Linked DNA regions of Macaca mulatta. The protein of the gene in region 7 interacts with the protein of the main gene of each other region in a biochemical or structural test. Links are inferred from orthologs where the notes say so. Each region holds a gene or a part of one and is shown on either strand. Other genes may lie near its edges. The genes, in order: NFE2, MLANA, JUNB, NDFIP1, WBP2, UBE2G1 and ITCH.

Evidence for each region.
Region 1: of the proteins of ITCH (region 7) and NFE2, one has a biochemical effect on the other in vitro, tested with the Homo sapiens proteins (2 studies listed by BioGRID, with this or other methods). The link is inferred for Macaca mulatta from reciprocal best matches to the Homo sapiens genes ITCH and NFE2.
Region 2: the proteins of ITCH (region 7) and MLANA form a complex in vitro, tested with the Homo sapiens proteins (2 studies listed by BioGRID and IntAct, with this or other methods). The link is inferred for Macaca mulatta from reciprocal best matches to the Homo sapiens genes ITCH and MLANA.
Region 3: the proteins of ITCH (region 7) and JUNB form a complex in vitro, tested with the Homo sapiens proteins (2 studies listed by BioGRID, with this or other methods). The link is inferred for Macaca mulatta from reciprocal best matches to the Homo sapiens genes ITCH and JUNB.
Region 4: the proteins of ITCH (region 7) and NDFIP1 form a complex in vitro, tested with the Homo sapiens proteins (2 studies listed by BioGRID). The link is inferred for Macaca mulatta from reciprocal best matches to the Homo sapiens genes ITCH and NDFIP1.
Region 5: the proteins of ITCH (region 7) and WBP2 form a complex in vitro, tested with the Homo sapiens proteins (2 studies listed by BioGRID). The link is inferred for Macaca mulatta from reciprocal best matches to the Homo sapiens genes ITCH and WBP2.
Region 6: the proteins of ITCH (region 7) and UBE2G1 form a complex in vitro, tested with the Homo sapiens proteins (2 studies listed by BioGRID). The link is inferred for Macaca mulatta from reciprocal best matches to the Homo sapiens genes ITCH and UBE2G1.

Annotation. Positions count from the first base shown.
Region 1 is NC_133416.1:61,486,179-61,490,268, reverse strand, and holds the start of NFE2 (transcription factor NF-E2 45 kDa subunit), read left to right. Parts: upstream 1-1,290; 5' UTR 1,291-1,411; intron 1,412-3,851; 5' UTR 3,852-3,907; coding exon 3,908-4,021; intron 4,022-4,090. UniProt on the Homo sapiens protein: Component of the NF-E2 complex essential for regulating erythroid and megakaryocytic maturation and differentiation. Binds to the hypersensitive site 2 (HS2) of the beta-globin control region (LCR).
Region 2 is NC_133420.1:93,446,887-93,450,386, forward strand, and holds part of MLANA (melanoma antigen recognized by T-cells 1), read right to left. Parts: intron 1,564-3,500; coding exon 1,450-1,563; intron 1-1,449. UniProt on the Homo sapiens protein: Involved in melanosome biogenesis by ensuring the stability of GPR143. Plays a vital role in the expression, stability, trafficking, and processing of melanocyte protein PMEL, which is critical to the formation of stage II melanosomes.
Region 3 is NC_133424.1:13,346,065-13,349,808, forward strand, and holds JUNB (transcription factor JunB), read left to right. Parts: upstream 1-1,402; 5' UTR 1,403-1,703; coding exon 1,704-2,747; 3' UTR 2,748-3,244; downstream 3,245-3,744. UniProt on the Homo sapiens protein: Transcription factor involved in regulating gene activity following the primary growth factor response. Binds to the DNA sequence 5'-TGA[GC]TCA-3'.
Region 4 is NC_133411.1:150,996,407-150,999,906, reverse strand, and holds part of NDFIP1 (NEDD4 family-interacting protein 1), read right to left. Parts: intron 2,378-3,500; coding exon 2,253-2,377; exon of another isoform or gene 2,131-2,252; intron 1-2,130. UniProt on the Homo sapiens protein: Activates HECT domain-containing E3 ubiquitin-protein ligases, including NEDD4 and ITCH, and consequently modulates the stability of their targets. As a result, controls many cellular processes.
Region 5 is NC_133421.1:85,558,515-85,562,014, forward strand, and holds part of WBP2 (WW domain-binding protein 2), read right to left. Parts: intron 2,379-3,500; coding exon 2,286-2,378; intron 1,640-2,285; coding exon 1,505-1,639; intron 1,327-1,504; coding exon 1,204-1,326; intron 696-1,203; coding exon 619-695; intron 487-618; coding exon 433-486; 3' UTR 1-432. UniProt on the Homo sapiens protein: Acts as a transcriptional coactivator of estrogen and progesterone receptors (ESR1 and PGR) upon hormone activation. In presence of estrogen, binds to ESR1-responsive promoters. Synergizes with YAP1 to enhance PGR activity.
Region 6 is NC_133421.1:5,863,291-5,867,557, reverse strand, and holds the start of UBE2G1 (ubiquitin-conjugating enzyme E2 G1), read left to right. Parts: upstream 1-1,467; 5' UTR 1,468-1,806; coding exon 1,807-1,852; exon of another isoform or gene 1,853-3,093; intron 3,094-3,449; exon of another isoform or gene 3,450-3,558; intron 3,559-4,267. UniProt on the Homo sapiens protein: Accepts ubiquitin from the E1 complex and catalyzes its covalent attachment to other proteins. In vitro catalyzes 'Lys-48'-, as well as 'Lys-63'-linked polyubiquitination. May be involved in degradation of muscle-specific proteins.
Region 7 is NC_133415.1:87,186,656-87,190,805, reverse strand, and holds the start of ITCH (E3 ubiquitin-protein ligase Itchy homolog), read right to left. Parts: upstream 2,801-4,150; coding exon 2,654-2,800; intron 2,590-2,653; exon of another isoform or gene 2,566-2,589; coding exon 2,410-2,565; intron 1,944-2,409; coding exon 1,853-1,943; intron 1-1,852. UniProt on the Homo sapiens protein: Acts as an Acts as an E3 ubiquitin-protein ligase which accepts ubiquitin from an E2 ubiquitin-conjugating enzyme in the form of a thioester and then directly transfers the ubiquitin to targeted substrates.

The DNA.
Region 1 (4,090 bases), on a different chromosome or scaffold from region 7:
AAACTTGCTACTGCACCCAAAAGCTGGTTGGAATGGATCCAGAGGTTCTCCTCAACTCTCTCCCCTCCAAACTCCTGCCTCTCCTTGCTCCCCCCCGCCCTTTTTTTTTTTTTTTTTTGAGACAGAGTCTTACTCTGTTGCCCAGGCTGGAGTGTAGTGGCATGATCTCAGCTCATCGTAACTTCTACCTCCCGGGTTTAAGCAATTCTCATGCTTCAGCCTCCTGAATAGCTAGGATTACAGGTGTGCACCACCAGACCTGGATAATTTTTGTATTTTTAGTAGAGATGGGATTTTGCCATGTTGGCCAGGCTAGTCTCAAATTCCTGACCTCAGGTGATCCACCCACCTTGGCCTCCCAAAATGCTAAGATTACAGGCATGAGCCACCACACCCGGCCACTGAGGCACTTTAAAATGCTGATTCCTGGGTCTATGAATTAAATTCAGTAGATTTGAAGTGGCTTTCAGGAATCTGTGTTTTTACATGTAGCCCAGGTGAATGTGGCACACAATGAAGTTTGTGACTCCCTGAGCTAGATGCAACCTACAGCCTTTCACAGCAATTGGTTTCTAGTCCTGTCTCCATTTAGGGAAGGGACTGAATGAGAAGCAATTTGCCCAAGGTCATGTATCCTTTTGTTTGTTTGTTTGTTTGTTTGTTTGTTTGTTTCAGTGTTTCACTCTTGTTGGCCAGGCTGGAGTGCAATGGCATGATATCGGCTCACCGCAACCTTGCCTCCCTGGTTCAAGCGATTCTCCTGCCTCAGCCTCCCAAGTAGCTGGGATTACAGGCATATACCACCATGCCCAGCTAATTTTGTATTTTTAGTAGAGACAGGGTTTATCCATGTTGGTCAGGCTGGTCTTGAACTCCCTACCTCAGGTAATCCTCCCACCTCCTCCCAAAGTACTGGGATTACAGGCGTGAGCCACCGCGCCTGGCAAGGTCATGTATCTCAAGTGCCAGAGAACCTAGGTCTCCTGCCTCCTAGGGCAGGACCTTTGTACTGCACCTTAGAGTCAGATCCAAGAAGATAAAAGGAGAGACAAATACGGGGTGGGGTGGGGTGAGTGAAGAACTATGAAGCAAGAGTCATTGTCTCTGCCCCCTAAACCCCTTCTCCATTCACTTTGCCTTTGGGCAATTTCCGCCAGAACCTGGGTGGAGGAGGGTGGGGTTCCGGTGTTGAAATGGCATCCTGGACAGACATAAACACCCCACCCACTCTGCCCACTGGCAGAGTTGCCTACACCAACTCCCATCTCTGGGGATGGCAGTAAAACAAGGGGATGGAGGCAAGAGCTAGGGGAGATACTCTTTTAAAAGCATCATTTGTAGTTCCTACTAATTTTGTCGTAAGTTGAAGAGAAGATTCCAAATTAAATTGCTGTGCTGGGCCATCCTTGTGGTGAGTGATCTAAGGTCATGCAATTTGAGATCATACAATCCTATCCTCTGTCCTTCTTTTTCTTTTCTTTTTTTTTGAGACAGAGTCTCGCTCTGTCGCCCAGGCTGGAGTGCAGTGGTACGATCTCAGCTCACTGCAACCTCCACCTCCCGTGTTCCAGCAATTCTCCTTGTCTCAGCCTCCCAAGTAACTGGGATTACAGATGCCCACCAACATGCCTGACCAATATTTGTATTTTTAGGAGAGACAGGGGTTTCACCATGTTGGCCAGGCTTGTCTCAAACTCCTGACCTCAGGTGATCCACCTGCCTCGGCCTCCCAAAGTGCTAGGATTAGAGGTGTGAGCCACCGCACCTGGCCTTTTTTTTTTTTTTTTTTTTTTTTTTTTTTTGAGACGGTCTTGCTCTGTCACCCAGGCTCGAGTGTGGTGGCACAATCATGGCTCACTGCAGCCTTGACTTTTCAGGTTCGAGTGATCCTCCCACCTCAGCCTCCTGAGTAGCTTGGACCACAGACGTGTGCCACTATGCCTAGCTAATTTCTGCATTTTTAGTGGAGATGGGTTTTTACCATATTTCTCAGGCTGATCTCAAACTCCTGGGCTCAAGCGATGCTCCCACCTCGGCCTCCCAAAGTGCTTCCCCTCTCCCACGTTTCCTTCATCCTAGCCTGCTTCCCTTTACTAATATGGCAGGGTACGTCTGTGTGCGTGCACACACACACAATGTGTGACCGTAGAGATCAGGAAGACCTTGCCAAATCTACTTGGAGTCTCTTGCTGACGGCAGGGAAAACAGATGCAAGGAAGGTGGGTGTCAGGGAATAGGGAGGTAGCATGAGGAGAGGGACTGACAGAGAGAAGATAAGGACACGGGTGAGGGTTTGCTGAGAATTCTAAGCTATCCAAGCAGAAAGGGACCTCCAAGGTCAATTTGTCCAACTCCCTGGTTTTACAAATGAGGAAACAGAGGCCCAGAGAAGTGAGATGGCTTGCTCAACATCACACTGCTGCTTTGTGGCAGAGCTGCAACTAGAACCCAGGTCAAAAGAAAAGGGACTGGATGGCAGTGTGTATTCAAGGCTCTAGAGGGACATTGCCCAGAAGGAGAAAGAGAGACTGACACTCCACAGAAAGAACTGATGAATGTAGATTTCCAATAGAGGTTTGGAGTATGAAGATACAGGGGCAGGAGGGGAAGATGCCTAGAAGAAATTATAGTCAAGTGGAGTCAGGTTCTAGACCTCATCCTGCTATTATTTATCAGTTTCAGTCTCAGCTTCTGATGTACCTTTAGAATCTTTGTGAAAACCAGTCTTTTTTTTTTTTTTGAGACAGAATCTAACTCTGTCACCCAGGCTGGAGTGCAATGGCGCGATCTCAGCTCACTGCAACCTCCACCTCCTGGATTCAAGTGATTCTCCTGCCTTAGCCTCCTGAGTAGCTGGGACTACAGACATGTACCACCCCATCACACCCAGCTAATTTTTGTATTTTTAGTAGAGACGGGGTTTCACCATGTTGGCCAGGCTGGTCTCGAACTCCTGACCTCAGGTGATCGCCTGCCTTGGCCTCCCAAAGTGCTGGGATTAGAGGCCTGAGCCACTGCACCTGGTGAAAACCAATCTTATAAACTAAGCTTGCAACATCAAGCTTAGTTCTTAACAAGTGCTTACTAAGTCTTTACTAAGGTTGTTGTATTACCTCAGAAGAGGAAAGACTTCTGGTTGTGTGGGTTAAGGTATGGCCCAAATGACCCTGTGAGGACACAGGACAGAGGTCCAGTGTCTCCAGAGCCCATTCCTTCTGTGCCTCTGCCGCCTGCAGCTGATAAACCTCTTATCTGGCCCAGGCAGGGAAGCCCAGGGCCAGGATAGGAGGAGAGGGCAGAGCTGCTATCAGCCACCAGGCCTGGGCCATATCTTCGAGAGGGGGAGGGGCTGTCTGCTTGGCTCTTTCCACAACATGCTCTTGGGGATCCTGAAGCATATACTGTCATCATCTTGGAAAGAAAAGGCTGAGAACTTAAAACTGAGGACAGAGGAGGAAAGCAGGGTGACCCCTGATGTTGCCCTAGAAAATGAAAAACAAAATACAGGAAAACAGAGAAACAGAAGATCTGACTCTGCCCTTAGCCAGGAAAACAGTTTGGGGGAGTGAAAAGTAGGGGAAAGAGTGGGCATTTTGCCTGGAAAAAAGGTAAAGACCTTCTGTGCTACCAAAGGAACTGACTGTGGCCATAGTTGGCGAGGTGGAGATCATACCACAGGAAAAGATTTTCCGTCTTAAGGGATTGGTTGATGAGTCCAGCATGAGTGAGGATGGGGAGGAGGCAGTCTCTCCTTCCCTCAGGGGAAGCTGGAGGGAGCCCCTCCAAGGAGGTAGTGCAAACTTGCTGATCCTAGCAGGTGTAGCTCTAACACCTCTTTTCCTTTGACACAGGTTTCCAGAGCCATCTGGGCTTTCCAGGAACCTGGACCAGACTCTGGCCCAGTAGGATGTCCCCGTGTCCTCCCCAGCAGAGCAGGAACAGGGTGATACAGCTGTCCACTTCAGAGCTAGGAGAGATGGAACTGACTTGGCAAGAGATCATGTCCATCACTGAGCTGCAGGTGAGTAAGGGCGGGATAGGGTGGGGAGAGCGTGTGTCAGAGAAGAGAGAAGCAGGGAGTTGACCTGGA
Region 2 (3,500 bases), on a different chromosome or scaffold from region 7:
CAAGAGTAGAGAAAAATAGGGTTAAGGGGTTCCCAAAATCTCAAAAGCTTAGCTATACCTGGATTTTCCATGACAGTAAAAATCTCAAGCCCTAACAAACAAATCACTGAATGCTATTTACCGACACTATATACATTGCATCTTTACCACAGAGATCCTTGTAATTGTGTCTAAAGGCACATTGACACTACCAAATATAAAACAAGAGGATATTGTATCCAGAATAAATGTGTCAGGGCTTCATTTAATGCTCACAACAATTCTGGGAGTGTTTTTATTGTTTTCATGTTACAGAATGGGAAACCAGAGCACAGAGAGGTTAACTCGCTTGCCCATTGTCACACAACTAGTAAGTTGTTGAGGTAAGAATCAAACACAGTAATCTGGCTCCAGAGTCAGTGCTCTCAACCATTATACTGTGTTGTATATGTACTAGTGCTGTCCAATAGAAATATGGTACGTAATTTAATTTTATTTTATTAATTTATTTTTGAGATGGAGTTTCACTCTTGTTGCCCAGGCTGTAGTGCAGTGGCACTATCTCGGTTCACTGCAACCTCCACCTCCTGAGTTCAAGTGATTCTCCTGCCTCAGCCTCCAGAGTAGCTAGGATTACAGGTGTGCACCACCACGCTTGGCTAATTTTTGTATTTTTAGTAGAGACAGGATTTCACCATGTTTGCCAGGCTGGTCTTGAACTCCTGAGATCAGGTGATCCACCCACCTCGGCCTCCCAAAGTGCTGGGATTACAGGTGTGAGCCACCATGTCCGGCCATATGTAATTTTAAAATTTCTAGTAGCTACATTTAAAAAAAGAAACATGTAAAATTAATCTTAAAATGTTTTATTTAACCTAATATTATCAGAATATTTATTTCAAAATGAATCAATATAAAAATAATTAATGAACCATTTATCTTCTTTTCCACATACTAATATCTTTGAAATATGGTATGTATTATAATACATCTTATTTTAAACTCCTATAAGTGTTCAGTTGCACCACGTGACTAGTGGCTAAGCCATCAGACAGCACAGCTCTATACAATAAATAATAGGTACTTTATCCCTCCCCTCTGCATATATCTACATCCATTAAAAAGGCAAGTATGACTAAAAACATAAAAGAATATTGTATCCAGGACTAAGTTCTTCCTTTGGATCTTACATGTAGGGCTCTCATTATTGACCCTGGAAACTCTGGGTATGTGACAACACAATTTAAGAAAATCCCTGTGCTTCCCTTGTTTTTTGTTTTTATTATTATTTATTTTTTATTCTCATAAAATACACAAAAAAGTTGCCATTTTAACCATTTTTAGGTATATATAGTTCAGTGGCAACGAGTACATTCACATTGTTCTTGCTTTTTAAATGGAAATCATTGTATTCACTTGAGTTAAAAACAGCCATTCATGAAAATACCCTTATGAAGGATCTCAACCTACCACAGGTTCACAATTTTTCTCTTGAAGAGACAGTTTGCTGTCCTGATGATCAAACCCTTCTTGTGGGCATCTTCTTGTTAAGGCGCATTGAGTGCCAACATGAAGACTTTTATCCTGAAATGTAAATTGATAAAGGTGAGTGGGAAGAAGAAGTAACTGAATCCATTTTAGAAAAGAGAAGGGAAGCCAAAGTTTTAAGAATGAGTTTTAATCTAGGTTCTGCCACTTACTTGCTGTGTGCCTTCAGTCTTATCACTTTGCCTCTCTGAATTCTGAGTTTGCATCTAGGAAGATAATACCCACCTACCTCTCAAAATTGTTGTGGGAATTAACTAGAGGTAAAGCTCTAGTGCAGTGCCTGGGACCCAATAGGTGGTCAAAGAATATTTCTGAAGGGAAGGATAAGAAGACTGAATCTACAAAAGGAACACTCTTATGAAATTATCCATCAGTAGTGAAGCAGAAATAAAGACTTTGTCAAACAAAAATTGAGGGAATTCGTTGCCAGTAGACCTGCCTTGCAAGAAACATTTGAAGTTCTTTAGAGAAAAAGAAAATAACATAGGTCAGAACCTTGTATCTACATAAAGGAAGAACATCCAAGAATGAATAAGTGAAGGTAAAATAAAAACTTTTTTTTTTTTTTTGAGACAGCGTCTCACTCTGTTGCCCAGGCTGGAGTGTAATGGCGTGATCTCAGCTCACTGCAACCTCTGCCTCCTGGGTTCAAGCAATTCTCCTGCCTCAGCCTCCCAAAACTTCCTTTTTCTTTCTTTCTCTTTTTTTTTTTTTTTTTTTTTTTAGGAGACATGATCTTGCTAAGCTGCCCAGGCTGGTCTTAAACTCCTAAACTCAAGCAATCCTCCTGCCTAAGCCTCTGAGTAGCTGAGACTACAGGCATGCACCACTGTACCCAACATATTCATCTTAGTTGATTTAACAGATAATAGTTTGTTCAAAAATGAATAATAGCTACAGTGTATTTAATTGTGTATGCTTATATACACTTGAAATGAATAACAGCAATGATACAAGGGAAAGGAATGTTAACAGAAAGAAAAAAACTGCAAAATATTTTAAAGAGGTTTATTCTGTGCCAATATGAATGACCATGGCCAGGAGAACAGTCTCAAGAGGTCCTGAGAAAGTGTGCCTGAGGTGGTTGGGTTATGATTTGGTTTTATACATTTCAGGAAGGCAGGAATTGTAGGTAAAAATCATAAATCCATACACAGAAGGTATATTTTGGGTCAGCCTGAAAAGGCAGGACATCTCAAAGCAGAGGCTTACAAGTCACAGGTGAGTTTTAGGGATTCTTTAGTTGGCAGTTGGTTGAAAGTTCAGCTCTGTCTTAAGACTTGAAGTCAGTATAAAGGAATGCTTAAGATAAGGGAGTCTGCAGTCTGTCACGTGATGCTATACCAGAGTCAATTTGGAAAGTAAACCACATTATACAGGGTTAATTTTTTTAAAAAACAACATTTTATGGTTTGAAGGGCGTGATTTAACCCTTTCCTTGCATTGTCTTGTTCCTAATTTGATATTGCCACAAAGAGTTAATTCTGTCAGTCCTATAATCTCTATTTTAAAATTAATGCTAGTCAGTTGTAACTAAAACTCTAAAAGGGAGGGTGTATAATGAGGCATCTCTCATCTCCCTTCCCATCATGGCCAAGACTCAGTTTTTCAGGTTTCCCTGGGGTCCCCTTGGCCAAGAGGGGGTCCATTCAGTTGGTTGGAGGATGTAGGTTTTGTTTTTAGTTTACAGGAGGAAGGAATTAGGATTATTTTATTTTAAGATGCTCATAATGCCTATGAAATGGTATAGTGTTATTTGAAAGTGGGCTTGAATTAGTTGTAAATGTTTGTTGCAAACTCTAGGGAAACCACTGAAAAAAAGTAAAAAAGAAGTGTAAGGCGGGGCATGATGGCTCATGCCTATAATCCCAGCACTTTGGGAGGCCGAGACGGGCGGATCACGAGGTCAGGAGATTGAGACCATCCTGGCTAACACAGTGAAACCCCGTCTCTATTAAAAATATAAATAATTA
Region 3 (3,744 bases), on a different chromosome or scaffold from region 7:
CCCGCCGTCGGGCCAATGGAACAGTCCCATGTTGCCTGCCTCCGCGGTCCCCTGCAGGCGCCGCGGGCGGAACCATTGCTTGAGGGGAGAGGATGGTGGCTGGAGGCTTCCGTGGCTGGGCAGGCTCCACGCACCCGGGCCTCCGCGGGGGCTCGCACGCCCAGGTTCCTCTTCCGAGGCGCAGGATGCGGTGGGACCCAGGGCGGGGCGCACGGTCCCGTAGGATCCAAGTGACGGAGACAGGGCCGGGCTCCTTCCCCCGGGGCTGTTGCCACACTTCCTGCCTCGGCGCTCTTTCCCCAGCCTGTTTCTAAGGAAGGGAGTGGGGTTGGGCGACCGCGCCCCAGCCGTCGGGCTGGGTCCAGGCTCCAGGAGCCGACACGGTGTCGGGCAAAGCCCAGGGTCAATAGGGGAGAGTTTTAGGATGGGGGACAGAGAATACAGATGCCTAGGAGGTTACCCACGAGGGGGAGCACCAGTCGTGGAAGATCCAGCAGTCCTGGTGCGCAGGACCCTCAAAGCCCCCTCCTCGCATGTCAACTGAGTACCCTCTTATTGTCTTCTCTGCTCCGAAGATGTGTCCGGACCCTTCTGACTCTCTCCTTCATCCGGGCTTCGCAGATGACCCCAGTGGTCACCAGTTTCTGGCAGACTTGTCTCCATCTTCTACCCTGCATATTTTACCTGCCTCAGTGTACCGCAGGACGCTTACTCGCTTTCTGCATACCTAGATTTCCCCTAATTCCTCCTTCCCAATTACGGGAGAGCCCTCAGACCTTCCCATGGGCTCCTGGACCCTACTCATTTCTTTCAATTTAATGGGTCGTGCAGCTCCGCCCACTCACCCCTTTTGATCTCTCCCCTCCTCCATCCTGTGAAAATTCCAGCCCCGCATCCTTCTATGCTCGGGACCCCCAGTCAATTCCTGGGTCAGGTGTCTCCTTACCCCTCCCGATTTACCGTGCTTAACCCTCATTCCTGCTTTTTGGGGTCTCCCAATGAATTGTCCTACCCCTCTCGTATTCTGGGTACCTCAGGGGTTTCTTCGCACACCCTGAGATCCTCAACCTACTTGCTGCGTACCAGGTCCTGGTATTTGTCCCAGTGGACTTCAATGAAATCATCCTCCTCCCTGAAACCCCTCACTCATGTGCCTGGGCCCCCAGGCCTCCTTCCATGCGTACCCCGGGGTCCTTTGAGCCCCTCCCCCTGCAGGCCCGCCGAGCCACCCGGCCCGTGGCCGCTGTTTACAAGGACACGCGCTTCCTGACAGTGACGCGAGCCGCCTCCTCCCCTTCCCCACGCTCGAAGAGGGGGGCGCGGGGGCCCGGCTTCGGCGACGGCCAATCGGAGCGCACTTCCGTGGCTGACTAGCGCGGTATAAAGGCGTGTGGCTCAGGCTGAGCGGCTGGGACCTTGAGAGCGGCCAGGCCAGCTTCGGAGCCAGCAGGGAGCTGGGAGCTGGGAGCTGGGGGAAACGACGCCAGGAAAGCTATCGCGCCGGAGAGGGCGACGGGGGCTCGGGAAGCCTGACAGATCTTTTGCGCACAGCTGCCGGCTGGCTGCTCCCCGCCCGCGCCAGCCCCCGAGAACGCGCGACCAGGCACCCAGTCCGGCCACCGCAGCGGAGAGCTCGCCGCTCGCTGCAGCGAGGCCCGGGGCGGCCCCGCAGGGACCCTCCCCAGACCGCCTGGGCCGCCCGGATGTGCACTAAAATGGAACAGCCCTTCTACCACGACGACTCATACACAGCTACGGGATACGGCCGGGCCCCTGGTGGCCTCTCTCTACACGACTACAAACTCCTGAAACCGAGCCTGGCGGTCAACCTGGCCGACCCCTACCGGAGTCTCAAAGCGCCTGGGGCTCGGGGACCCGGCCCAGAGGGCGGCGGTGGCGGCAGCTACTTTTCTGGTCAGGGCTCGGACACCGGCGCGTCTCTCAAGCTCGCCTCTTCGGAGCTGGAACGCCTGATCGTCCCCAACAGCAACGGCGTGATCACGACGACGCCTACACCCCCGGGACAGTACTTTTACCCCCGCGGGGGTGGCAGCGGTGGAGGTGCGGGGGGCGCAGGGGGCGGCGTCACCGAGGAGCAGGAGGGCTTCGCCGACGGCTTTGTCAAAGCCCTGGACGATCTGCACAAGATGAACCACGTGACACCCCCCAACGTGTCCCTGGGCGCTAGCGGGGGGCCCCCGGCTGGGCCCGGGGGCGTCTACGCCGGCCCGGAGCCACCTCCCGTTTACACCAACCTCAGCAGCTACTCCCCAGCCTCTGCGTCCTCGGGAGGCGCCGGGGCTGCCGTCGGGACCGGGAGCTCATACCCGACGGCCACCATCAGCTACCTCCCACACGCGCCACCCTTCGCCGGTGGCCACCCGGCGCAGCTGGGCTTGGGCCGCAGCGCCTCCACCTTTAAGGAAGAACCGCAGACCGTGCCGGAGGCGCGCAGCCGGGACGCCACGCCGCCGGTGTCCCCCATCAACATGGAAGACCAAGAGCGCATCAAAGTGGAGCGCAAGCGGCTGCGGAACCGGCTGGCGGCCACCAAGTGCCGGAAGCGGAAGCTGGAGCGCATCGCGCGCCTGGAGGACAAGGTGAAGACGCTCAAGGCCGAGAACGCGGGGCTGTCGAGTACCGCCGGCCTCCTCCGGGAGCAGGTGGCCCAGCTCAAACAGAAGGTCATGACCCACGTCAGCAACGGCTGTCAGCTGCTGCTTGGGGTCAAGGGACACGCCTTCTGAGCGCCCCCTGTCCCCTTACGGACACCCCCTCGCTTGGACGGCTGGGCGCACGTCTCCCACTGGGGTCCAGGGAGCAGGCGGTGGGCACCCATCCTGGGACCTGGGGGCGCCGCAAACCACACTGAACTCCCGCCCTGCGCCCAGTCCTTCCACCTCGACGTTTACAAGCCCCCCCTTCCACATTTTTTTGTATGTTTTTTTTCTGCTGGAAACAGACTCGATTCATATTGAATATAATATATTTGTGTATTTAACAGGGAGGGGAGGAGGGGGCGATCGCGGCGGAGCTGGCCCCGCCGCCCGGTACTCAAGCCCGCGGGGACATTGGGAAGGGGACCCCCGCCCCCTGCCCTCCCCTCTCTGCAACGTACTGTGGAAAAGAAACACGCACTTAGTCTCTAAAGAGTTTATTTTAAGACGTGTTTGTGTTTGTGTGTGTGTTTGTTCTTTTTATTGAATCTATTTAAGTAAAAAAAAAAAAATTTGTTCTTTATTAATTTCTGTTGTCTTTTTTTCCAAGCTGGGAGGGCGGAGGGAAAAAAAAGCACTGGTGTGCCCCCAGCTCAGTGCTGTTGGTGGCTCGGTCCTGTATGTGTCCCCCTCGTCGGCTCTGCGCAGGCATCTTGTGGTCCCAACCCGGGAGTCCCACCCTTCCCGCGTCCCCGAATCTCCAGGGTTGGATGGTTGGGGCGCGGGACGCAGTCCAGGGACACAGTAGCTGAAGGCAGGGCGCTGGGGGCGAGACGCGGAGCGCGCAGGCGCGGCCCCGCCCAGCAGTGCGCGCCGGGGCTTTCCCCGCTGACGCAGCGGAAGCGTTGCCCATACAAGGACCGATTCTGCCCAGTGACGCGACCGCGGTCTCTGGGCAGATTCCGGGAATCCCCTCCCCCGCTCTGCCGGGCAGGGCCGCAGCGCCGGGAAGGGGGCCGGGATTTTCCCGGGCAGGCGGCTGCCCGGGCACGGAAAGCCCCAGGCCTGGGTCCAGAGGGCCCGCGGT
Region 4 (3,500 bases), on a different chromosome or scaffold from region 7:
CCTCAGCCTCCTGAGTAGCTGATATCATTGCCTTCTTTCTAAGGAGGCCTGACTTTGTTCCTACTCCTCCAGCCTTGTCTTGACTTTGGAAGCTTTATCATCTATACCAGGGTAATCCCCTTCCTTTGCTGACAACTGGTTTAGGAATGGGCACAGGATGCCATTCTGACCAATGGAAGTTGAGGGCTTCTGAGAAGCTTTCCTGGCTCTTAGAGAAAAAACAGTTCTTTCTAAAGGTGGTAGAAAAAAATTTTTTTAAATAGTTCTTTTTCTTCTCTTGAGCACTGCTGTGTTTCAATGTAATACTGATACATGAAACTGCCATCTTTTAACCCTGAGGGCATGGGGGGATCTGTGCCAATATGCTGATAGGTCAGCTGACCTTGATGATGTCCAATAGCCACTGACTTAACTAACCTCCTTGTCAGGGACTTGTTTTCAGGGGAAATAAACTTTCCCCATTTAAAATAACAATTAAAAATTTTTTTCTAGGCCATTTTGAGCTAGGTTTTTGTTACTCACAGTCAAAAGCATCCTAACTGATACAAGTTAATTCATTTGATTAATTGTTTTTTTTTTGAGACGGAGTCTTACTCTGTCACCCAGACTGGAGTGCAGTGGCACAATCTCGGCTCACTGCAAGCTCCCCCTCCTGGGTTCACGCCATTCTCCTTCCTCAGCCTCACGAGCACCTGGGACTACAGGCCCCCGCCACCACGTCCCGCTATTTTTTTTGTATTTTTTTAGTAGAGACAGGGTTTCACCGTGTTAGCCAGGATGGTCTCGATCTCCTGACCTTGTGATCTGTACGCCTCAGCCTCCCAAAGTGCTGGGATTACAGGCGTGAGCCACCGCGCGCAGCCCATTTAATCCACTTTGTAAATGCAGTTGAAAATTTAGTTACAAAAAAAAAAAAAAGACTGGAATTAATTTTATTTCTCTTTTCCTTGGAGGCTTTGGTGTCCAAGAGTTTAATGTAGTTTGAAAATTAAAATATAGCATTTTATTTGTTAATAAAGTAACAATTAAGATTTAGGGAAGGAATGAAAACCTCTTTAGGGCTTGAGTTCTTAACCTAAAGTCCATTATTATAGATTAGTACATATTAGCTATGTGGGGGAAAAGCTTATAACTTTCATCAGATTCTCAAAGGATTCTAGAACCCTAAAAACGTTAACAAATGTTTTATAATAAATAAGGTGGCACTACTTAGAAAAACTACAGTGGTCAAGCAACACCCATTAGTTAAGTATGCCAATTTATGATGGATAAATTGTTTTTGTTTATAAGGTTGATGATAGCAATAAATGTATCTGAAATCAGGGGACACTTTAAAAGCCTAGATCTTTTACAACTTTAAATTACTTCACGCAGGCCGGGCGCGGTGGCTCAAGCCTGTAATCCCAGCACTTTGGGAGGCCGAGACGGGCGGATCACGAGGTCAGGAGATCGAGACCATCCTGGCTAACACGGTGAAACCCCGTCTCTACTAAAAAATACAAAAAACTAGCCGGGCGAGGTGGGGCGCCTGTAGTCCCAGCTACTCGGGAGGCTGAGGCAGGAGAATGGCGTAAACCTGGGAGGCGGAGCTTGCAGTGAGCTGAGATTCGGCCACTGCACTCCAGCCCGGGCGACAGAGCAAGACTCCGTCTCAAAAAAAAAAAAAAAAAAAAAAATTACTTCATGCAAATTTAACTAACTGGCAACTCTTAAGTCACTAAAGACATACATCTCTATAATTTACTTCAGAGGTAGGCTCCTAATGGAGCAATACTTGTTAAACAGTTTTGGCTCCCCAAACATTTTGGCATAAGCAATCCTGGAGGGGAGAGGGGACGAGAAGGAGAAAAGAAAAGAAGGAAGAAGAGAGAGAGCTAGATTAAAACTGTAACAGAAATGAGAGGAATGGCTGCTTTTGATGAGACATCAAAGGGGTAAATATCCTTCCTTTTATTATAAAAACAACTAATTTCAGAACATATACATTATCATATTATAAACATCAGAAACAAAGAAAGCAGATGGTGAACAATATTAATACTAGACCAGTATTCAATAGCTTTGACAACAAAACTTGTGTGCATGAACCATTTGCAAATGATTTTGGTTCAGCTTCATCATTTTTTAGACAAACTAAAAATCATTTAACACGTTGAAATAACTTTTAAAAAAGCAAATGAAAAATCAAATATTCAAAAATATTCTAATTATTGTCCCTCTGTAGAGCCCATCTTTTCTGTTGTACAACTTACCCTGACAATCAGGATCCACTTAATTAGAGAGAGACCAAATCCTGAAATGGCCCCATACCTTCCTGCAGCTGAAGTGGTCAGGCAAAAAGACAGGAAAAACCCAATCCAGTTAAAGAGGAATGCCACTGCAAAAGCAGAGGAGGGGAAAGATGTTAGACATGTCCTGTTACCCAAGAACAAGAGTGCCTTACACCTGCCTCTGTTTTAATGACTTTCCAAAGGATAAAAGCCTGTCCTCCACAACCCTCACCATACCTCCTCTAAAACAACCATTCTTCTCTGTCTTTCCCCAAAAAGCAAACAAGAAAAATTCCTCCCTATCAGGTTTTACACAATTATGTCTACTGTTAGTTACTTTCAAAAACGCCTTAACAGGCTGAGCACAGTAGCTCATACCTGTAATCCTAGCACTTTGGGAGGCCAATGTGGGAGGATCCCCTGAGCCCAGCAGTTTGAGACCAGCCTGAGCACCACAGTAAGACCCATCTCTACAAAACTGAAAGAAAAAAAATTAGCTGGGCACAGTGGTGCACAGTGGTGCACACCTGCAGTCCCAGCTACTTGGGAGGCTGAGGTGGGGGGAGCACTTGAGCCCAGGAGGTCAAGGGTACAGTGAGAAGTGACCACACCACTGCACTCCAAATTTAGTCTGGGCAACAGAGCAAGACCTTGTCTCAAAAGGAAAAAAAACAAAAAACAAAAAACAGCAAAAAACAAAAAGCAAACCTTAACAGTCTTCAAACTATATACTTACAACCTCTGCTTCCTTTTTTTTTTTTTTTTCTTGAGACCGAGTCTCACTCTGTCACCCAAGTTGGAGTGCAGTAGCATGATCTTGGCTCACTGCAACCTCTGCCTCCCAGGTTCAAGCGATTCTCCTGCCTCAGCCTCCCGAGTGGCTGGGACTACAGGTGTGCACAGCCATGCCCGGCTAATTTTTGTTTTTAGTAGAGACGGGGTTTCTCCGTGTTGGCCAGGCTGGTCTTGAACTCCTAGCCTCAGGTGATCCGCCCACCTCAGCCTTCCAAATTGCTGGGATTACAGGCATGAGCCACTGTGCCCTGGCTTTGACCTCTGCTTTTTTTTTTTTGAGACGAAGTCTCGCTCTTGTCATCCAGGCTGGAGTGCAATGGCACGATCTCAGCTCACTGCAACCTCCGCCTTCCGGATTCAATCGATTCTCCTGCCTCAGCCTCCTGAGTAGCTGGGATTACAGGCACCTGCCACCACACCCAGCTAATTTTTGTA
Region 5 (3,500 bases), on a different chromosome or scaffold from region 7:
AGGGAATGTGAGCAGGGCCTGGCAGGGCCGGGGAAGACACCTGGCTGGTCTGAAGTGGCTCATGAGGCTGAGTGTAGCAGTGGCTGCCAGACTGAGGGAGCTGGACTGCGGTGGAGGAGGTGGCCAGAGAGTCCCTTCGAGGGGAGAAGCTGAGAGTGAAACAGGAACAGGGGATGCCCCATGCTCCCAGGAGAGCCCCAGACAGTGAGTGAGGCACACTGGGCAGCGTTGTGGGCTCTGGGCTGGCATGGAAGCTGGGCGGCACCTCTCCTGAGGCCGGGGGCCCTAATGTCCCACAATGCTAGTTCCTGGTAATTGTTTATGATCAGACCTGGAGGGAGAACAAGGCGCCCCCTCCCCCAGCCCCAGTGCAGCCCCAATGGGAGGGGTAGGGTACAGAGATAAGGGTGGGAGGCAGGGAGGCAGGAGGGCCTACTGGGTCTTCTTATCTTCCGGTGGGTAGTAGGGAGGTGGTGGCGGCTGGCTCTAAAGAAGGGAGAAAGGGAAAATTCGCGTTAGAAGGTTTAAAACATGGCGCAGTCTTCCCCCTGTGGCTCCCAGCATCTGTGGCTGCGGGGCTGTACTGGCACTGCCACTGGCACTGCCACGCTCTCTCACCGTGGGCATGTAGACGTTGTGAGGGTTGCCTGGGTTGTAGTAGGCGCTGGCGGCTGCTTCTGCGGCCTTGGCTTCGGCTGTGAGAGCAAACACACCCAGTGTCAGTGACAAGTTCTCATCCCCCTGAGCTTAGCCCAGAGACCCTGGGTCCCCATGGCTCGGGGCAGCTGGTGCTGGGGGTCCAGTTCCGCCAATAACAGCAGCAGGTGAGGCTTCCTGAGCATGGGCCACGTGCTGGCATGGTCCTTTCCAGGCCCATCGCATGTCTCACCTCATCTAATCCTTGAGCCAACCCCCCAGGTGCCACCGTGACCGACCAACTGAGTGTAGATGAGAGGATGAGAGGACCGAGGCACACAGGGTGACATTCCCTGCCCAGGCCATGTGGGTAGCTAAGGGATGGGGGTGGGGCCAGAATCTAGCTCCGCACCACCAGGCCACGGCCCTGCTGGGCCCCTGGGGTAGTCCAGGGGTCATCCATCATCTGCGGCTCTCAGCAGTCTCTGGCCATTCTGAGGCTCTCTGTGCAACCTTGGGGAGGAGAGGGCTGGTCCCGAAGGGCTGCCAGCACCCAAAGGCCCTCACCTGCAGGAGTGGAGGGGACATCGGGGCCGCTGACCGGAGGTTCCATGGGCCCAGGATAGGGCGGTGGTGGGGGCTGCACGTATCCCATGGCCCCGTCCATCATGGGGGGTCCTGGATAGAACTCTGCTCGGCAAGAGAGCAACAGGGACCCGGTGAGCACCCGGCTGCGGCCCCCTCTGAGGGGGGCCTCTCCAGATCCTGTTAGTCCTGAAGCAGCTCAAGGAATGAAGCCTCCCTGGCCTGGGGGAGCCTGGATAGGCGGGCTCATGAGGGGAGGGTGGGCAGCAAAGGACACACTCACCAGGCGGGGGCGGTGGATAGGGGTAGCCAGGAGGGCAGGGGTACATTCCATTGGCGACTGGCGGGGGATAGACATAGGCCCCGCTGGGCATGTAAGAGTAGCCATAGGCTCCATTGGGGGCTTCACCTCTGGAGGCTACAAGTACAAGGGGAAAGAGAAATGAGTGTGGCCTGCCTTGGGGCGGGGAGAGGGCGGTCCCACTGCCTGCAGAGGGGAGCTATTGGGGCCCAGGAGTGTGCCCAGCAGACATGCTCTGTCCACCCCACTCCACTCTCCACCCACACTCGGGGCTGCCTTGGTCAGGGATGGGGTGATGAGAGAGGACAGGAGAGGTCAGAGCCAGGGGAAGGCAAGGGAGGTCAAGGACAAGGGTGGAGGGTGGACGGAGGCCAGGAGGGAGGCTCAGGGCTGGGGTAGGAGTGAGCTGGCGGAGGATGTCTGCTGGGCCCATCCCTCGGTCATTTTCAATGGCTGCAAAACCGCAGTTTAATGGTTGGTTTGGGGTTTGTTTTATGGGGCCATAGTAAAGTGTCCTTGAGTCCAAACAGCTTTGTCAAAATGTGATCCACCTGCTCCAGGCAGGGAAACGCAGCCTCTGAGGTACAGGACAGAGCTCACGCCAATGACAGCTTTCCTTCCCAACTCCTAGGCCTGCTCAGCCTAGTGCCCAGACACTTACCTCTTGAATGTTTAAAAAAGCAAAAAAAAAAGGAAGCAAACTCAAACCAAACCCCTACATGTTCAGTGTGTCCTCAGCCCCTAATCTTCGGAGCCTGGATACCTTGAGATGCCACCTGGAGCATCCGCTGTCCAAACTCAATGGCGCCCCCTGCCGTGAAAGTCAACTTGTAGGAAGCAGAACCTTCCCAGCCACCTGAGAGGGGAAGGACAGCGAATAAACACCACAGAAAAAGAAAACCGATGCCCCAAGAGATGGCTGTTTTCCTCTCCAGGGCTTCATCCGACGCCCGGGAGGCTTGCAGGAAGCTAGGCCTGCACTGTGATGGGGACTTCCCAGTGCCATGGTTTCCAGCCTGCTGCCTGCATAGGAGCCAGCACTGCAGCCCGGCCAGGCCCTGCTATACTCGCTTCCCCCTTTGGAACAAGGGCCTCTCCTTCCTGAAACAAGCCTGTCCTCCCACCACTGGCCCAATATGTACACAGGTGCCAAGGCCACCTTGGTGTGGTTTTAGAGCTAACATCAAGGTTTCTTTCCACCCCCAGTCAAGCACTCGGCAGCTGCACAGGCACAAGCCCACTCGACAACAACCGACCCTGAAATTCAGAGCAGACCTCTCATCCTAAGGGGGTCCAAGGACAGACTCCAGCCCTTCTAGCTTGGCTTCTGCCCAAAGAGGGACCAAGAGCGCTCAATAGCAAGGGCGGGCCTGGCTGCCTGTCAAGGGGAAGGCAAGTTCAGTGCAGAGGTCTCTGGGGCCTGCCAAAAAGCCAGCCCCAAAGCAGGGTAACTCTGGCTTCCAGAGGCAGTTGCCTCTTCCTGGCTCTCATGAAAAGGCCCCTCTCAAGAACTGATGCAGCTCCTTCCTGAGTCTAAAATTTGTATGCACTCGCCAAGGCGCACTAAGCATCCTGACTCAGTCCGCAAGCTTCTGCAGACTTCACGCTCTGAAAAGCTGACCTGAGCTGCCGTCTTTTTTTTTTTTTTTTTTTTTTTTGAGACGGAGTCTTGCTCTGTCACCCAGGCTGGAGTGCAGTGGCCGGATCTCAGCTCACTGCAAGCTCTGCCTCCCGGGTTTACGCCATTCTCCTGCCTCAGCCTCCCGAGTAGCTGGGACTACAGGCGCCCGCCACCGCGCCCGGCTAGTTTTTTGTATTTTTTAGTAGAGACGGGGTTTCACCGTGTTAGCCAGGATGGTCTCGATCTCCTGACCTCGTGATCCGCCCGCCTCGGCCTCCCAAAGTGCTGGGATTACAGGCTTGAGCCACCGCGCCCGGCCAAGCTGCCGTCTTTAATGCCAGCATTTTCCCCAGCTCT
Region 6 (4,267 bases), on a different chromosome or scaffold from region 7:
GTAGGAATAGAAGGAAATCTCCTTGATTTGTTAAAGTGAAACATCAAAATTGTCCCTTTGGTCTATTTGATAGGGAGGCAGTGGTTCACATCTGTAATCCTAACACTTTGGGTGGCCGAGTTGGAAGGACTGCTTGAGCCCAGGAGTTTGAGACTAGCCTGGGCAACACAGAGAGACCCCTCTCTCTCTCTCTTTTTTTTTTTTTTTTTTTTTTTGAGATGGAGTCTCTCTCTGTCCGCCAGGCTGGAGTGCAGTGGCACCATCTCAGCTCACTGCAACCTCTGCCTCCGGGTTCAAGCAATTCTCCTGTCTCAGCCTCCCAGGTAGCTGGGAGTATAGGCGCCTGCCACCAGGCCGGGCTAATTTTTGTATTTTTAGTAGAGACGGGGTTTCACCATGTTGGCCAGGCTGATCTCGAACTCGTGACCTCAGGTGATCTACCCGCCTTGGCCTCTCAAAGTGTTGGGATTACAGGCGTGAGCCACCCCGCCCCGCCGAAACCCCCCATCTCTATAAAGCAAATAAAAAAGTAGCAGGGCATGGTTGTGTGGTGTGTACCTGTAATCCCAGATACTAAGGAGACTCAGATGGGAGGATCCCTTAAGCCCAGGAGTTCCAAGCTGCAGTGAGCTATGATCACTGCATTCCAGCCTGGGCGACAGAAAGAATTGCTGTCCATAAATAATAATAATAACACGGCCGGTTGCGGGGGTTCAATAATAATAGGGCCGGTCGCGGTGGCTCATGCCTGTAATCCCAGCACCTTTGGGAGGCTGAGGCCGGTGGATCACTTGAGGCCAGGAGTTTGAGCCCAGCCTGGCCAACATGGTGAAACCCCATCTCTACTAAAAATACGAAAAATTTGCCGGGCGTGGTGGTGGGCGCCTCTAATTCCAGCTACTCAGGAGGCGGAGGCAGAAGAATCACTTGAACCCGGGAGGCGGAGGTTGCAGTGAGCCGAGATCACGCCACTGTACTGCAGCCTGGGCGACAAAGCGAGATTCGGTCTAAAAAAAAAAATCTTTTTGTGCACTCTTCATGTAAAGAGAATTATCAGCATATATTGCCTCTATTTTGGTGTTTGGTTAAAATGGGGCACACCAGTACTAACTTCGGCTTTCTAACAATTCCTAATTCGCACACCATGTGGCAGTGTTAGATGGCTTTTGGGCGCTCGCCAACGACAAGACATCTACCACTTCTTTTGGCCCCTTCGCTCCCATATCCATTACTTCAATCCAGATGCTGTATTTGACCCTCCGCGACCTCTTTGTCATGGCGTCCGCGGGGCGTCTACCAGCGGAGACTTGGGCTGGCAGCCGGGCGTCGACCTTCCCAAAATGGCGACGACAGGGACAACTGCGCTCAGGGGGCGGGGTTCCGCCGCCGGGGGCGGGGCGGGAGGCCGAGGGGTCGGGCTAGCGAGCGGGACGCTTCCCAAGTCGGCTGTCTCAGCGCGCCTGCGCCGAGCGGCCCTGCGCGCAGTGAGGCAGTGGCGGGGGAAGGCACCGGTGGGGCCGACGGGCGGGTTGAAGGAGGGAAGCGGGCGAGCGAAGTCCCAGTGCGCGCCGCGGCAGCCCGGGCACCCTCCCCTTCCGGGCGTGAGTCGCTGTGAAAAGAGCTGAAGCGAGCGGACTCGCACCGGCAGCGAGGCGCCGCTCCCGCCGCCTCAGCCCGGCCTCCCTCGGCTCCGGCGCTCCGGTCGCGGGGCCCGGGTTCCTCGGCACACCCCGCTCCAGCCGCCCCCAGAGCCTGTCCCCAGCCCTTCGGAAGCCCCGGCGCCAGCCCGGGCCCTCGGCGGGGAGGATGACGGAGCTGCAGTCGGCACTGCTACTGCGAAGACAGCTGGCAGGTGAGCAGGCGGGCGGCGGGCCGCCGGGCTCGGCCGCGATCGCAGACAGCCGCTGCTCGGTCCCTCTTCTCCTCCTCCCGAGCCAGCGGCCGCACGGCCGAAGGGGTCCGGGCCTGCGAGGGTGGGTACCTCGAGGCTCCGGTCCCGGCCGGGCCCAGCCGTTCTCGCCTGGCTCTCGGAGGGCATTGGGGGCGGGGACGCGACCCAGCTCCGGGCCGGGGACCGGGCCTGGCGCCCGGGGGATCGGAGAGGAGGCGGCCCCCCTCCCCCACCGTTCTGTAGGACGTTGCGGGGGAGGGGCTGTGTGCGGATCCCCAGGCCGGGGCCGCCAGCCTGGAGGGGCGGGTCCCGGGCTCAGGTGCTGCCGGGGTCGCCGGACCTTCGGGGCCGGCTGGAGCGTCCGGGCCCAGCGTGGCTGCGAGTCCCAGGCTCGGTGTCTGAGCCGCAGGGGGCGAGGGCGGGCGGAAGGGACCTGCCCTGGCGGGATAGGTGAGGCGCACAAAACTTCTCCCCGGGCGGCGCTGGGTCCGCGGAGTTGGGGCCGACAACAAAAGCGCCGGCCTCGGCGGCCTCCACGCGGGCGCGCGGGTGCCGGAGACCCTGGCGGGGTGCGGAACGCCGCCTCGCCTGCCTCCGCCTGGCACGGGCTCCGGCTGCGCCGCCCGGCTGGGGGAGGGTAGGAGCGGGCCGCGGGAGAGCCGCTCGCTGGCCGGCTCCGGGCTTTGTGCTCGCCGCGATTCCTGCTCCTGCGCAGGCCCGCAAACCCCGGAGCTGCGCCCGCAGACTCTGGCCCGGGGCGGCGGCCGGGTCGGCCTCTCCGAGGAGCCTGCGGCCCCCCTCCCCCATTGTCCCGGCCTCCGGCCGTTTGCGGCTTCCAGGTTGACTTTTTAGGGGGTTGGCTCCTACTCTGCTAGGACTGTGTGCGCAGAGCATGCGCACTGGAGACGTCCGTGTGCGGAGTGGAAGGGGGGAGGCGGGTTGGTGGCTTCACAATGCAGCCCCACGTGCTGCCAGATTTAAAGAGAAATGAACCAGCAGTTACCCCTGCTGTACAACGCCCGGCGTGTGTCATTCTCAGTTCAAGCGATCTTCCCCCTACCCACTCTACAACCAGTAGCCTCCGGCCCTCAGCAGAAGCCAAAGACTGGAGTGATGAAATCTGTCTTTGAAATACATTTACTAAGAGTTTGAGGTGTTCGTTAAATCACCTTTATAGCTTCTTAAGGAAAAGATTGTCAGGGGTTCTTACAGATAGTATAATTGGGTTTATTATTAGACCATGAGCAAGCAGGTTTGGACAAGTATTAAAGTTCTAGATGCTCGGGGGAGTTCGCTTCCAGTGAATGGAGAAGTTCTAATGATACTACAGGATACTCATCAAAATTATGTACTGGAAAAGCACTGAGGCCGGGCGCGGTGGCTCACGCTTGTAATCTCAGCACTTCGGGAAGCTGAGGCGGGCAGATCACCTGAAGACAGGAGTTCAAGGCCAGCCTGGCCAATGTGGTGAAACACCCGTCACTACTAAAAATACAAAAAATTATTCGGGCGTGGTGGAGGGCGCCTGTAATCCCAGCTGCTCGGGAGGCTGAGGCAGGAGAATTGCTTGAACCCGGGAGGCATCGCTGCAGTGAGTTGAGATCGCCCCATTGCATTCCAGCCTGGGCAACAGAGCGAGACTCTTCAAAAAAAAAAAAAAAAAAAAGAAGGGCCGGGCGCGGTGGCTCATGCCTGTAATCACAGCACTTTGGGAGGCCGAGGCGGGCGGATCACGAGGTCAGGAGATTGCGATCATCCTGGCTAACATAGTGAAACCCCGTCTCTACTAAAAATACAAAAAATTAGCCGGGTGTGGTGGCGGGCGCCTGTAGTCCCAGCTACTGGGGAGGCTGAGGCAGGAGAATGGCGTGAACCCCGGAGGTGGAGTTTGCAGTGAGCCGAGATCGCGCCACTGCACTCCAGCCTGGGCGACAGAGCGAGACTCTGTCTCAAAAAAAAAAAAGAACTTTATTGCATCTTTTTTTAAATTTTGAGGCAGAGTCTCACTCTATCACCTAGGCTGGAGTGCAGTTGCGTCATCTCGGCTCACTGCAACCTCCGCCTCCTGGGTTCAAGTGATTCTCCTGCCTCAGCCTCCCGAGTAGCTGGGATTACAGGCGCGCACCACCACGCCCGGCTAATTTTTTGTATTTTTGGTAGAGGCGGGTTTTTACCATGCTGGCCAGGCTGATCTCCAACTCCTGACCTGGGGATCGCCCGCCTGGGCCTCCCAAAGTGTTGGGATTACAGGCGTGAGCACCGCGCCCGTCTGCATCTTGACATTTATAAACACCTTTTCTGTATACTTTTTTGTTTGGAGGAGGGAATTAAGATTTCCCCAATTCTTTAATCAGAATAAGTTTTATGTGGTGAATT
Region 7 (4,150 bases):
AAAAACTTGTTCACAAATGTTTATAGCATTTTTCATAATATCCAAAAAGTAGAAACAACCCAAACATCCCTCAACTGAAGAATGGATTTTTAAAATTTGGTATACTCATACAATAAAATATTATTTAGCAAAAAAAGGAATTAAGTAATGCTACATGCTACAACAAGGATGAACCTTGAAAACAGTCTGCTCAAAGAAGACACAAAAGGCCACACATTGTACAATTCCATTTATATGCAAGATCCAGAATAGGGAAATCTAGAGACAGAAAGATCAGGAGTTGCCTGGGTTTGTGGGTGGATGGGTTAAATGGAGAGTGACTGCTAATGAGTACAGGGCTTCTTTCTGGAAGGACAAAAAAATATATATATATATTTTTGAGACGGAGTCTCGCTCTGTCGTCCAGGCTGGAGTGCAGTGGCCGGATCTCAGCTCACTGCAAGCTCTGCTTCCTGGGTTTATGCCATTCTCCTGCCTCAGCCTCCCAAGTAGCTGGGACTACAGGCGCCTGCCAGCTCGCCCGGCTAGTTTTTTTTTTTTTTTTTTTTTTTGTATTTTTTAGTAGAGACGGGGTTTCACCGGGTTAGCCAGGATGGTCTCGATCTCCTGACCTCGTGATCCGCCCGTCTCAGCCTCCCAAAGTGCTGGGATTACAGGCTTGAGCCACCGCACCCGGCCAAAAATATTTTAAAGTTGATTGTGGTGATGGTTGCACAACTCTGTGAATGTACTTTTGGGGTTCAGAAACTGATATCCCAAAATATGGTGCTTTGACTCGTTGAACTAAAGGAGTCTCTCAAGATCTCTCTGACCCCTGCAGCATCCCTCCCTCAATCTTCTTTCTCTCAAAGTACAGCATGAAGTTGTTTTCTGAAGTTCTCTTATCTGCCTAAGTCCAGATCCACCAAAGAAGGAAACAATTACAATTACCTTTGTTCCTTCCTTGAGTTTTCAATAACTAAACTTATATAGCAGGAATATAAAGACTGAAGTCTTTTTTTTTTTTTTGAGATGGAATCTCGCTCTGTCGCCCAGGCTGGAGTGCAATGGCATGATCTCGACTCACTGCAACCTCTGCCTCCTAGGTTCAAGCGATTCTCCTGTCTCAGCCTCCCAAGTAGCTGGGATTACAGGTATGCACCACCACGTGCAGCTAATTTTTTTTATGTTTAACAGAGACGGGGTTTCACCATGTTGGCCAGGCTGGTCTCAAACTCCTGACCTCAGGTGATCCGCCCACCTGGATCTCCCAAAGTACTGGGATTACAGGCGTGTAATCCCAATAAATGGGTAACCTGTAGGGGATATGAATTATATCTCAATAAAGCTGTTAATACAATACAAAACAAACAAAATAAGCAACTACCCAGGTGCCCATGTTCAAGGAAAAAAAACTGTAAAATATCCAAGAATATTCTACAATAAAAATTACTATCTGTATGTCTTCATTCATTCATTCAGCAAATATTAATTGAGCACCTGACATGTAACAGCCATTAAATATTTTGTTCTCTTAAGATTTTTTTTTTTTGAGAGTCTCACCCTATCACCCAGGCTGGGGTGCAGTGGCGCAATCTCGGTTCATTGCAACCTCCACTTCCCAAGGTCAAGCGATTCTCATGCCTCAGCCTCCGAAGTAGCTGGGACAGCAGGCGTGCACCACTACGCCCAACTAATTTTGTATTCTCCATGTTGGCCTGGCTGATGTCAAACTCCTGGCCTCAAGCGACCCGCCCACCTCAGCCTCCCAAAGTGCTGGGATTACAGTCATGGGCCACCATGCCCGGCCCTCTCAGGATTATTTTTTAATCACATGGGGAAAAATAAAGCTGCCGATGTTTCTAAAACTTACCAGTGATCTGAAGCTGTGATTTCATGGTGAGGCTACCCATTGAACCAAGTTGTGATCCACTGTCAGACATACCACCAATAGGTTGGAAAACCTGAACATGGCAAAGGAGGCAGTGTAAACATCAAAAATTCCCATTAAAAACGTACGTAAATAGTGCTAACCTGGCTATTACTGAAGACAGTGTAACAAAGGCCTTTACATTGCTAAACACAATTTTCAATTCTAGTCTTTATCCTACCTAACTTATTGGCAAAATCTGACAATGCTTGTTAGTACTACAGGGGCCAAGACAAGACTTCCCCTTTGCGCCCAGTGAAGGTTCACTGAAAATCATCTGACAAAAGGCAGGCAGATAAATTTGAGAAAAGGCATACATAACTATTAGCATGCATGAGTCGGGGTGGGGTGGATCACAAAATGATCACCCCATCAAGCAATGGGGTACAGATGATTATAACCTGGAGGATATTACCTATCCAGATAGCTTTAAATATCATCTATATAACATGTCCCAAGCAACTTTATTTACTTATTTATTTTTTGGGAAAAACTCTCACTCTGTCACCCAAGCTGGGGTGTTCTGGAGCGCCTCCCGGGCTGGGGGGTCCTTCTGCTTCAGCCTCCTGAGTTGCTGGGACCACTGGTGCACACCACCACTCCCGACCCAGGAGGTAAGTCCGCAGTGAGCTGTGATCACACCACTGTACTCCAGCCTGGGCAACAGAGGAAGACCCTACCTCAAAAAAGAAGAAATAAGATACAATAAAAAATAAAATTAAACTAAATATACTTGGCACTTACTGTTTGCCAGGTACTTTTGTAAGAAGTACACAAATACAATAAGGCAAACAAAATGCCTTGAAACTGTAAACGCTGTCTTGAGTTTTTATGCAAATTTAGGTTTCCGTTTAAAAATTTAAATATAAAACAATTATGATGGCTTCTCATTTCTGCAAAAATGAAATGGAACAATAATTAATTCCTACTGAGATGAACCCTATAAAATCCAACCTACCTCATTCTGTGCTTACATACAAAAATGCTCGAAGCTAAAATTTGGTCTCAACCATAGGGACTAGCTCATTTTCTTGGCATAATACATATATTTTTTCCTTTACCTTGTTTATTTAAATTGCACTATTTCAAATGAGATGTTTTATAAACAAAATCTGCTAAAAGAACCCTTTTATTTTAAAAATGAAAGGTAAACAGCATAAAGTCATTAGTAGTCATCCATAATATATTAAGAAATGAGATGTAACCTAAAAGCCTTTTAACACCATATTGCACAAGATATTATTCTGATTCAAATGGCTTGTTATGAGAAGGGTCCTCAAAGACATTATAACACATTATGTACACGTATTACTCCCTCCTCAATATCCAAAAGCCTGTTTGCCATAGAACGACAATATCAAAAAAAGTAAATTAAGGGGCAGTGAGAAAAGTCCAATATCTAGGTGCTGATATTCTGCATGATAAAGGTACTCATCTCCATCAACAGTCACTCATCTCCACTAACGATTTATTGCAAGAAAATGCCCTTTCTAATAGTACAGTATAAACTATTCTAAATATAAATTTACATTAATTACAAAGTCGCAAAAAATTTTAGATCTCTACAAAAATGAAGTATATTTTAAAAACTAAAATTAACTTCATGTAGAAAAGATTAATGAAAGCATAGCCTGCAAATATTTTTAAGAACAATGACTCTCCAGATAATTACAGAGAATCATTATGGTAGAATTGTGAGGTGCTCTGCCAAAAACATGCTAGTAATTTCAATAATTTATGTACATATACATACTAGTTTTACATAACTAAAATTCACCAAGCATTTTAAATTCTTGAAAAGAATAAAAATTGCTATTTGCATAATATCAAAAAATTAGAAGCAACCTATATTATCAATTGGCATATGTTAAATAAATCACATATTCATACCACAGAACAGATTACTATGCAGGTATCAAAATAAGTAACTTATTAATGACTGAAATTGAAAGATCCCAAGAACATCTTTAAAGTTGCAGAATAGCATACATGAGTTGGGGTGGGGTGGATCACAAAATGATCACCCCATCAGTATGTACAGTATGATATTATTTTTGCAAACTAAAACACTATATACTCCTATGAGTACAAATACTTATAAATAAACACAGAAAAAGTATACATTCCATTGAGGAGGAGGGCACCTGTGTACTCAAGTAGGTGGTCACAGGGAACTGCAGTTTTGTATGTATTGTTTGAAGTTCTAGAAGTGAAACATGTATCATTGTTGACTTGTACAAT